2 linked regions of the Sus scrofa genome follow. The protein of the gene in region 2 purifies or fractionates together with the protein of the main gene of each other region. This does not show direct contact. Links are inferred from orthologs where the notes say so. Each region holds a gene or a part of one and is shown on either strand. Other genes may lie near its edges.

Region 1 (4,650 bases), on a different chromosome or scaffold from region 2:
CACTACATACTCTTTCTCTTCTACTCAAAGCCCCAAAAAACAATAGTCCCATTTATGTAGAAATGCATCTTTCCTAGTTTTTCCCCTACCTCTTCATACAGCACCTACTTCATTGTTCTAATTGAGGTTCAGTCATAATACCTACAACAGTAACAGTCAATACCTCCTGTCCTCATTCTGCTACAACTTGGAGGCAAAAGAAATGTGTCACTCTGGGAGTATGGCAATGAAGGGAAGACCCTCATAGACAATAGCAATGAGGCATGGGGTCACAAGCACATGGCCTATAACTGAAACCCAATTATAAAACACCACGAGCTTAGGAAATAGCCCTTACATACCTCTTCTTTTATAAACAGTAGGGGTGGTTAAATGAAGTGAAAGAATCAACAGTCCATTCTCCACAAATGGCTGACGGCAGAACATGCCCTGGCTAAGTGCCTCAACCTATTCTTCAGCGGTTCATTATTCTGGGCCATCAATCCACTATTACCAAATCTTAAGCTCTAACCAAAAATGGCAAAGAAAGAAAAGAGTTACGTCGTTAAATTCTCTGAGTTATACTGGTGGGCACTTAAGCATTCAGCCTCTGGAGCGAAAGCAAGCTGAGCTCAAATCATGACTTAGTTGCTAATTGCGTACTACTAGCCAATTACATTTCCTGTTCTAATGTTTTCTGATGCCCTGCCAGCCAACATCCTCCACGGCCTCGCCCCCTCACCATCAAGCACGTGAAGTCCACAGGCTAAGAGAGCAGACGGGGTCTGTTCTGTGTTTACCTCCCCATCTTCTCAGTATGTTGGCGCTTTGGCATTGGGTGCCCCTCATTCTCTAGGGTGCCGTAACTCTGTTTCCTCATCTCCCTCAGTGGGTACAGAGCTTTTGAGAAAGGATAAAAATGCACCCCGCTGGGGCGGGGCCAAGCATTTCCCCTCCCCTAACAGGGCGGAACTAAAAGGAAAGGGACGCAGCGTTTATCGACTTTCCGGTTACCATGGTAAAGCCGCCGCCGCCGCCATCGTTATTGTGGTCGACAATTACTTGCGTTAGCTTAAGAAAATAATGAACAATAAAGAATTATGCAGACTAAAAGCCTTCAAATTAGCCGAGCTCCAACACGGAACGTAGTTTTTCTCAGGCTGGAGCCCAGCCGGGAGGGAGTTAGCGCTCTCCTGGACGTGACGCGCGCCTGCTATGACGAAATGACGCCAGGGGAGGGGCCCTGCGTCCGGCCGGCTCAGAAGCGTCCGGCTCACGCGCCGTACAGAAGCGTGTTCGGCGCTGGGCTCATGCGCCGTACGGAAGTGTGCTCTGGCGCACCGGAAGCCCCCGGAAGAGAGCGATGGCGGGTTTGACTGTGAGAGACCCTGCGGTGGACCGTTCGCTACGTTCGGTGTTCGGTGAGAGGAATTCGGTGGATCCAAGCGTCCGGGAGGGAGAGAAAAAGACAGGGAACGCCGAGGAATGCCGTCCTGCATCTCATGAATCGCTGCAGGAGCCGGTGATGGGTCGGGCTTGCGCTCGACCTGCCTGTCCTGTCGGGCGGCCAGCTTGGTGGGCTCGTGGGCAAAGTGATGCTCCCCTTCCCCCGAGGCCTCAAAGCCTTTGCAAGATGTGGCCGAGGAAGTTAAACTAGCGTTCAGCTTCTATGCGTTTTCCTTTCGTGAGCCTCAATTATTATATAGAAGCGAGGGCTCATGGCAACTGCCCCGTACTACTCACCCCCTATCCCAGAATACAGTTTATATGCTGAGGATATAGATCTTTCTGTCCACTTCCCGCCCTCTCATAAGGGCTTTCATCCTCTGCTTTTCACATTTTAGTTCGTCGTTAGTGGTAGTGGCCACCCGGCGTCTTAAGGTGAACTGTAAATAAATGAATGAATGAATGATTAAGACCTATTCAGAGAAATTTTAAAGAGGGTCGAGTCTATTCTGAGCAATCTTTCAGGCCGAAATAAGTTGATTTTTAAAAGTATCTGGCGATTTTAAAGCACCTTTTGGGAGGGACATGACAAAATAGTTCAGAATAACTTTTAAACATCCTCTACGACATTCGTGGTCATTCTCCTTTGAGTGTGTGTATATGTGGAAATACTGGCATAGGAGCCGGCTTCATATATTATAATATTGACATTTTTAGCAGTTATTTATGACTTGCAGACTTTCAGGTAAATACCAATGCCTAAATATTTATTTTCACCATACTTAAGAAAAATGTAACACCTGTCAGTTCAGTCTAAGAACTAATACTTAGGGCATACACCTTTTGTGTTTCGTCTCAATGGTTTATTCCTCTTGTAATTAAAGTCAGTAGACACCATTGAATTCTTGTCTAAGAGAGTACAATGGAATCGGGATTGGAGGAACGTTGTGTTTGAACCAGTTGTTACATTTTCAGTGATATATGTAAATGTTTTCTTACTAAAGACCTAGATTACAAACTCAGAATTTTAATATATTATCTATTTCCTTCCTTAGTGGGGAACATTCCTTATGAGGCTACTGAAGAGCAATTAAAGGACATCTTTTCTGAGGTTGGACCTGTTGTTAGTTTCAGGTGAGATCCCCTTTTACTCCTTGGTGGAAATTTCTTAAAAATCACCACAAATTGGCCCCTAGTAATAATGGCAAAGTTTTTATTGGTGACTTTTCACATGCACAAAAAAATTCTTTTTTGTTTGTAACAGCTTTATTGAGATGTAATTCACACACCATATAATTCACATTCATTTTTGCTAAAAGATACATTTTTTTTTGGCCCACCCCTGGCATATGGAAGTTCCCAGGCCAGGGATCCAATCTGCACCACAGCAGTGAGCCAAACTGCTGCAGTGACAACATTGGATCCTTAACCCACTGTGCCACAAGATAACTCCTAAAAGTTACCTTTTTTTCCCATTTAGAAAGATGTGTAAAAAATATTTCAGTGACACGGAGCAGTAAGGTTGTCTTAAAGTAAACCACATTAGAACACAGCAATGTTAGTGGAAAACCTGCATGTATATAACATTCATGCCTGATACTTGGTTCTGCTCTCCAGGTTGGTATATGATAGGGAGACAGGAAAACCAAAGGGTTATGGCTTCTGTGAATACCAAGACCAGGAGACAGCACTTAGTGCCATGCGAAACCTAAATGGGCGTGAATTCAGTGGGAGAGCACTTCGAGTGGACAATGCTGCCAGCGAAAAGAACAAAGAGGAGCTGAAGAGTGAGTAAAAACCCAAGCTGTATGCAACATGAGTTAGTAAAGATGTAACAATGGAGATTTGCCACATAATCATATGTTTTAGCATCTGCTGAAATGGTTTTCAGCTACACAACATCTTTATTTGAGCCATCTGAGAGCTGCCTGCATTAGGGCAGTGTACACCTTTGAGAAATAAGTAAAGTTGACTTAAGACCTTCCGTTACCAAGGAATTGATTTCCAGCTGAAGATGAATTACAGGCTCAGGAAGCCGTTAGTAGTGCTAACTATGTCTGTCATTAGTGTCCGCCACTCCTATAATTATGTTACCAGATCTATAACTGGTAAGGATACCAAGGCATTCTCGTGGCTTTTTTTTTCATGAAGTAACAGAATCCAGAAATTCCATTTTGAAATTAGAATTAAACCCTTTTAACTGGGTCACAGTAGAAAAAAAAAATTGTATTGGGGAAATAACAATTAAAAAAAATTGTAAAAAAAAAAAAAAGAAACATTTTGCTTATGAAATGATTTGTAAAAGGAAATGGATATGCCTAGCCCCTAATTTAAGTTAATATTGTTCACTTCTGTGACCCTGGTGCCAGCTTTCCTCTGAGAGCAGAAGATACACTCTGTCACTTTCCTCCACAGAAATATGAGACTTGAAAATCACTTATTTCTCAGCTCCAGAAAATTTAAAGTTATCAACAGGGTCTTACAGCAACTCTGTAAAGAGTAGATACTTGAAATCGTTTAGCTCTTTATACTGCCTCCTTAACTTTCTTGTACTTTCTTCCCAATCAGGTCTTGGCACTGGTGCCCCTGTCATTGAGTCACCTTATGGAGAGACCATCAGTCCCGAGGATGCCCCTGAATCCATTAGCAAAGCAGTTGCCAGTCTTCCACCAGAGCAGATGTTTGAACTGATGAAACAAATGAAGGTAGGAGGAGGCACTAGCTTATGGATAAATCAAATCACATCAAATTTTCAAGGATTTCATTGATATGAATGATTCCCTGGTAGAAACAGAAAGTGTGCCTGTTGACCAACATTTCTTACACCTTCGGTGTATAGTGTACATTTCATGAAGAGTACTTTCCATTTTTTGTCCACAAACACACCTACACAATCTGGCTGGGATTTTGTGGCCCATAGATATCAAATCTAGATTTTAAAATACGACTTTTTTCCTAAATGATGGTATCATGATATTTGAAGTGCCTTCTTCCTTCTATTGCCTGCCATGACCAAGATTTTGTGTGCTATGTAAAAATTAATACCTTAAAAAGCCTCTTGAATGTTACATTTCTCAGATGCGAATAGCTCTAAATCATGATCAGTTTCTAAGTAATAACCTGATTGATGAATTGAACCGGATGACTGATCTCTTTATCTTCTCAGCTCTGTGTCCAGAATAGTCCCCAGGAAGCACGGAACATGTTGCTTCAGAACCCTCAACT
Region 2 (5,502 bases):
CCTGGTCTCCTGCCCCGGACCCTGCCTGGGCCACCTGCCCTCCCACACACACCCTTCCACAAACGCGGGCACAGGAGGCCAGGGCCAGGGCCCACACGCGCCCCCTGAGTGTGAGGTGCCGGCTTGTTTCAACTCCCAGGTCGGTCCCAGTCTGAAAACTGCAGCTGTCACTCCAGCTCTTTAAATCCTTAGGATTATATGTGGATAAATTTCTTTAACAAACCGACAACTGGTTGCATAAAAATGAGGCTTGTTCTTTTGAATACATTTCTGTAGTTAAAGTATTTTCCCTTAGTACAAGGTTGCCCAGCCAGTTTATTCAAACGTATCATTCCCATGACTGCCCGGAAGAGCAGGCAGTTAATGTCCCTTCTCCCCCGACCCCTGCCCTGGAATATAGCTTTTTTCAGTGCTCGACTGTCAAGCTGACCCGTGTCTGGGGAGTTTTTCGAGTCACTGACTACCATTCCTCGCCTGCGTCCCGCCCGCTGCTTCGGCTGTGGGTTGCAGGTGTCTCTGTCATTGATGGGGACAAGTGTGGAAACGGATCGACCGACCGTCGCTCTTCGGTGACGGAGGCAGCGTCTCGGGATTTTCCACCTCCCCGGGGGCCCAGCGCACCCGGCACGGAGAAGATGCTCCGTGAGCCCAGGGTTAACCGGAAGGAGGCCTTCGGAGCGGGTTAAAGGGCTGGCGGCCCGTGGACCTAGAGGCCTGGACACGTCGCCCACACGGGTGCCCACGAGCCAGGGGCTCCAAGCAGGTGCCCTCACTGCCTCGTGCCTAAAGGACTCCCTGCCACAGTTATTATAGGTGACGAGAGCGGATATGAAGTGCCACGTGTGACGCTTGTTCTTAATAAATGATAGCTGTATGTATTTCCTGCCTTACAAAATTAATAAAATGTGCGAAAATAAGTAAGTGCATTTCAGGAGTAGATATAAGGACTCTACCTCAGAACGAGGGCCTATCGCAAATATTATTATTCCCCAAATCTTTACGTATTTATGGAACAGTTTCCACTAATGCCGCCCCTTTGCTTATCCTAAGGGACATATTTGGAGAGGACTGTGTTAGCGTAAAGGACGGATCTGTTCTTAGTGTCACTGTGGATGGAAAAACTGCCAACATAAACTTGGAGACGCGGGTATGTAGCTGTTCCTTCCTGCATTGCAAGGCACTGGGGGATAAAGTGAACGCAAAAAATAATCTGGTTTGCAGTTTACTTTTGCATTTGGGCATTTCCTAGATTTAAAGATAGACTGTGTTTCTGTCGTCAGGTTTTTTTTTTTTTTTTTTTTTTTTGTCTTTTTGTCTTTTTGCTATTTCTTTGGGCCGCTCCCGCGGCATATGGAGGTTCCCAGGCTAGGGGTCCAATCAGAGCCGTAGCCACTGGCCTACGCCAGAGCCACAGCAACGCAGGATCTGAGCGGCGTCTTCGACCTACACCACAGTTCACGGCAACAGCGGATCCTTAACCCACTGAGCAAGGCCAGGGATTGAACCCGCAACCTCATGGTTCCTAGTTGGATTCGTTAACCACTGCGCCATCACGGGAACTCCTCTGCCGTCAGGTTTTACATCCATACTTTTACTTCTCGTTCTGCCCTAAGTGGTTTTCCCTGTCGCTGCAGAGGGTTCCTTTCCCACGTCTCGCTGACTCCCCCGGGCTCCATTTCCATAGTATTCCTCAATCCGCCTCGGCTTTCTCTACTTTGGCCTCCATGCGATGCAGGTTTTCCAGAGAAGCGGCTCTCCTGCTCACAGCAAGATCCAAGTGGCTTTTGCAAACAGTGGGATTCGTGTGTGCGGGGCCTGCAGGCCTTTAGGAATTATTTCATGAGCATAAGTGAATATGTGTCTCCTCCTCGGGGTGTGGGGGGGTGGCTTTTGAAGAGTAGAACAGTTCTGCTAAACCAGTAGCACATGTTTGGGATTTTGTTCATGTATTCTTTGACCGTATAGCTGTTTTGAGCAAACACTCGGTTTATTTTACCTCAATAGAAGAATAAGCCAAGAACACTAACAAGTAATTCGCTAGAGAAGAAATACAGCCAACAAGCACATGAAACAAATGTGTCAGATCAGATCCACTGAGAGTTAAAGGAAACACAGACTGAAAGTATAAAATATCACTCTTTCTGTGTTTCTGTCGGCACCGAGTAAAAAGAGTGCCGGGACCCGCTGGTGGTGAGCGAGGAGGGACACCGCTGCCCGCGGTTCCGTCGGGCCAGGGAGGAGGTTGTAGGGCGGGCAGGGCGTTCTGGCTGCAGCGCCGTTTGCTGATTGGCGTCCAAAGCCTTCAAAGTACATACCTGTATGCACGATGCCATTTGCTGGCTTTCACCAAAGAACATGATTAGGGAAGTGAGGAGATAGATAGATCGATATTTTAGCATCGATTATAGCAAAACTCCAAGAGACCTAAATATCCAAGAGTAGGAGATGGTAACTGAGTAAACACTGGGTCTGCTGTGCCCTTCGTCACGGAATACGCTCAACACAGCTACTGAGAACGGTGATGCAGGGTTTTTTGGGGGGGTTTCTTTGTCTTTTTAGGGCCACACCTGTGGCATATGGAGGTTCCCAGCTAGGGGTCAAATTGGCACTGTAGCCGCCTACGCCAGAGCCACAGCAACTCAGGATCCAAGCCGCATCTGTGACCTACACCACAGCCTGAGGCAATGCCGGATCCTTAACCCACTGAGCAAGGCCAAGGGTCGAACCCGCGTCCTCATGGATGCCAGTCGGGTTTGTTAACTGCTGAGCCACGATGGGAACTCCAATGATGTAGATTTATTAATGTGCAGAGTTGTCCATTACATTATTGAGTGAGGAAAAAAGTTACAAGATAGCAAATACGAATTATCCCATCTTTGTTTTAAAGAAATATATATATATATAGCCAGAAATCTAGAGGTTTATGCACTGAAATGTCAACAATAGTTATCATAGAATTAAGGGTGTTAGCTTTTCTTCCCTAAATTTTTATGTGAGGAATATTTATGGTGTGATAACCTTTTTTTAAAACAAAGTTTTTGTTGAGTTGATGACCATATCCAGTTCTTGCTAAATAATTTGTGTTGCATGACTTCCCTGGAGTGTCATTTACTAGATCAAAACATGGGCTTTGAAGTAAACATATTCTTTATTCCCTTTATTCTTTTTTTTTTCCCATAATTAATCCCTGGTCTGACTCAGTGGCGTCAGGAATCTCGGCATCCGGGTGCATGCCCACAGCTGTGCGGGGCAGCAGTTCTGGCTTCTGATCATCAAGAATCCTACCCCTTCAGCAAATGATTGTTCTTTTTGGGGGCGGGGGGCCCACATCTGCGGTATATGGAAGTTCCCTGGCCAGGGTCGAATCAGAGCTATATACCCTGGCCTACGCCACAGCCATAACAACATGGGATCCAAGCCACATCGGCAACCTACATCACAGCTTCTCGGCAACAGGGATCCTTAACCCACTGAGCGAGGCCAGGGGTCAAACCCGCAACCTCATGGATACCAGTCAGGTTTGTTACCGCTGAGCCATGATGGGAACTCCGGGAAATGATTGTTCTTAAAGAGCGTTAGTTTCTCTTTAACATAGTAATTCTAGACAGGAGTTCCCATCAGGGCTCAGCAGGTTAAGAAGCTGACGTAGTCTCTGTGAGGATGCAGGTTCAATTCTTGGCCTCGTTCAGTGGGATAAGGATCCTGCATAGGTTGCAGATGTGGCTCCGATCCCGATCCAGCGTTGCTGTGGCTGTGGTGTAGGCCGGCAGCTGCACCTCTGATTCGACCCCTAGCCTGGGAACCTCCCTCTGCCACAGGTGCAGTTGTAAAAAGAAAAAAAATCCACTCCAGACACTTGGGCTGCCAGGCATGTTTGTGCTCTCACTTTCAGACCGTGGAATGTGAAGAAGGGAGTGAAGACGACGAGTCCCTCCGAGAAATGGTGGAGCTGGCTGCCCAGAGGCTGTATGAGGCCCTCACGCCAGTGCCCTGACCCCTCACGCCTCTGTAGATGTTCAAACGTCGTGTCATGCTCGGCTCTACTGTTACTTCAAATAAAAGACAGTCATTTCCCTGGGGGCCTCTTTACTCTTGACGACAAAGGGCCTTTAGTCCAACCCTTAGATACCACTACGGGACCAGCTCATTTGTCCATCATTGAGGACTGCTCCTTCAACTGCCGGCTGCCGAGTCTGCTCCAGGGACGGATGCAGGACCCATGACACCGTGAAGACCCCCCCACACTGCGGGAGCAGAAGGGCTGGTCCTCTTTAGGGAAAGGACATGCATGATGGCCGGAGCTTTCATATCCATGATCTGAATTTGGATTAATAATTAGCGCTTTTCAACGTCTTAAGCCCCTTTTCTGTTTCTTCCCTCCCGATAGTCTTTCCAAATTCCTTAGTTTATATGTTTGTAAAATTAGAATTTTCAAGATTCAATAATGTTTTCTTTATGTAAGATCCACATTCAGTTCAGATATTCAAAAGATGCTTTTTATGATTCAGGTTCAAGGATGCTCATATGTTGTTGAGTTGTCTTATGTGTGTATTAATCATCAGTCCAGTTTTCTCAAGTACGAGTAGCTCAGACTTGCAAGGGCCTGGACACGGGTGTCTGGTCTTGTGCTGAGAGACCGGATCGACTCTGCCGGGGGTGGGGGCGGGAGGGGTCTTCGGCGTCTGCTTCAGTGAAAGGCTCCACCTGCTCCCTCAGCGGGAACGGAACAAGCAGGCCCTGGGGCAGGTTCGCCTTCACAGCCTGGCTGTGAAAAGTCAAAAAAAAAAAAAAAAAGATTCCTACTTAGTGTTTGGCCTAAACCAAAAGTCTGAGGGTCACCTTCTGTAAGTGCCATTTAAGATTTTGTTATGATAGATTTGATTTTATTTATTTTTGCTTCTTAGGGCCACACCTGCGGCATATGGAAGTTCCCAGGCTAGCGGTCTAATCAGAGCTACGGCCGTCGGCCTACACCACAGCCACAGCCACACCAGATACGAGCCTCGTCTGCGACCTACACCACAGCTCAGGGCAACGCCCCATCCTTAACCTGCTGAGCGAGGTCAGGGATCGAACACGCAACCTCATGGATACGAGTTGGATTTGTTTCCGCTGAGCCACGATGGGAACTCCTGTTATGATGGATTTTAAAACTTTTTTTTTTTTTTTTTTTTTTTGTCTTTTTAGGGCCGTACCCTCGGCATATGGAGGTTCCCAGGCTAGGGGTCGAACCAGAGCTGTTGCTGCCGGCCTACACCACAGCCACAGCAACTCGGGATCCTTAACCCACTGAGCAAGGCCAGGGATCATGGTTCCTAGTTGGATTCATTGCCACTGCACCACAACGGTAACTCCTAAAACATTTTTAAGTTACAAAAAATACACACTTGTGATATCTTTACAACACAGGTTATACACAGCAGAAAGGACGAGTCCTTTCGGAGTCCCGCTCCCTGAGGCAACCAGTTTCACTTAAGGATTCTAAACTGCTGTTCAATCTGC

What was found. Proteins that work in one complex are often made in the same cells at the same time.
Region 1: the proteins of CPSF3 (region 2) and CSTF2 purify together in Homo sapiens (affinity purification with mass spectrometry; 3 studies listed by BioGRID and IntAct, with this or other methods). This does not show direct contact. The link is inferred for Sus scrofa from reciprocal best matches to the Homo sapiens genes CPSF3 and CSTF2.

Annotation. Positions count from the first base shown.
Region 1 is NC_010461.5:82,507,497-82,512,146, forward strand, and holds the start of CSTF2 (cleavage stimulation factor subunit 2), read left to right. Parts: upstream 1-1,242; 5' UTR 1,243-1,342; coding exon 1,343-1,400; intron 1,401-2,480; coding exon 2,481-2,559; intron 2,560-3,042; coding exon 3,043-3,212; intron 3,213-3,993; coding exon 3,994-4,130; intron 4,131-4,591; coding exon 4,592-4,650. UniProt on the Homo sapiens protein: One of the multiple factors required for polyadenylation and 3'-end cleavage of mammalian pre-mRNAs. This subunit is directly involved in the binding to pre-mRNAs.
Region 2 is NC_010445.4:126,867,538-126,873,039, reverse strand, and holds the end of CPSF3 (cleavage and polyadenylation specificity factor subunit 3), read left to right. Parts: intron 1-1,050; coding exon 1,051-1,147; intron 1,148-3,892; coding exon 3,893-3,994; 3' UTR 3,995-4,521; downstream 4,522-5,502. UniProt on the Homo sapiens protein: Component of the cleavage and polyadenylation specificity factor (CPSF) complex that plays a key role in pre-mRNA 3'-end formation, recognizing the AAUAAA signal sequence and interacting with poly(A) polymerase and other factors to bring about cleavage and poly(A) addition.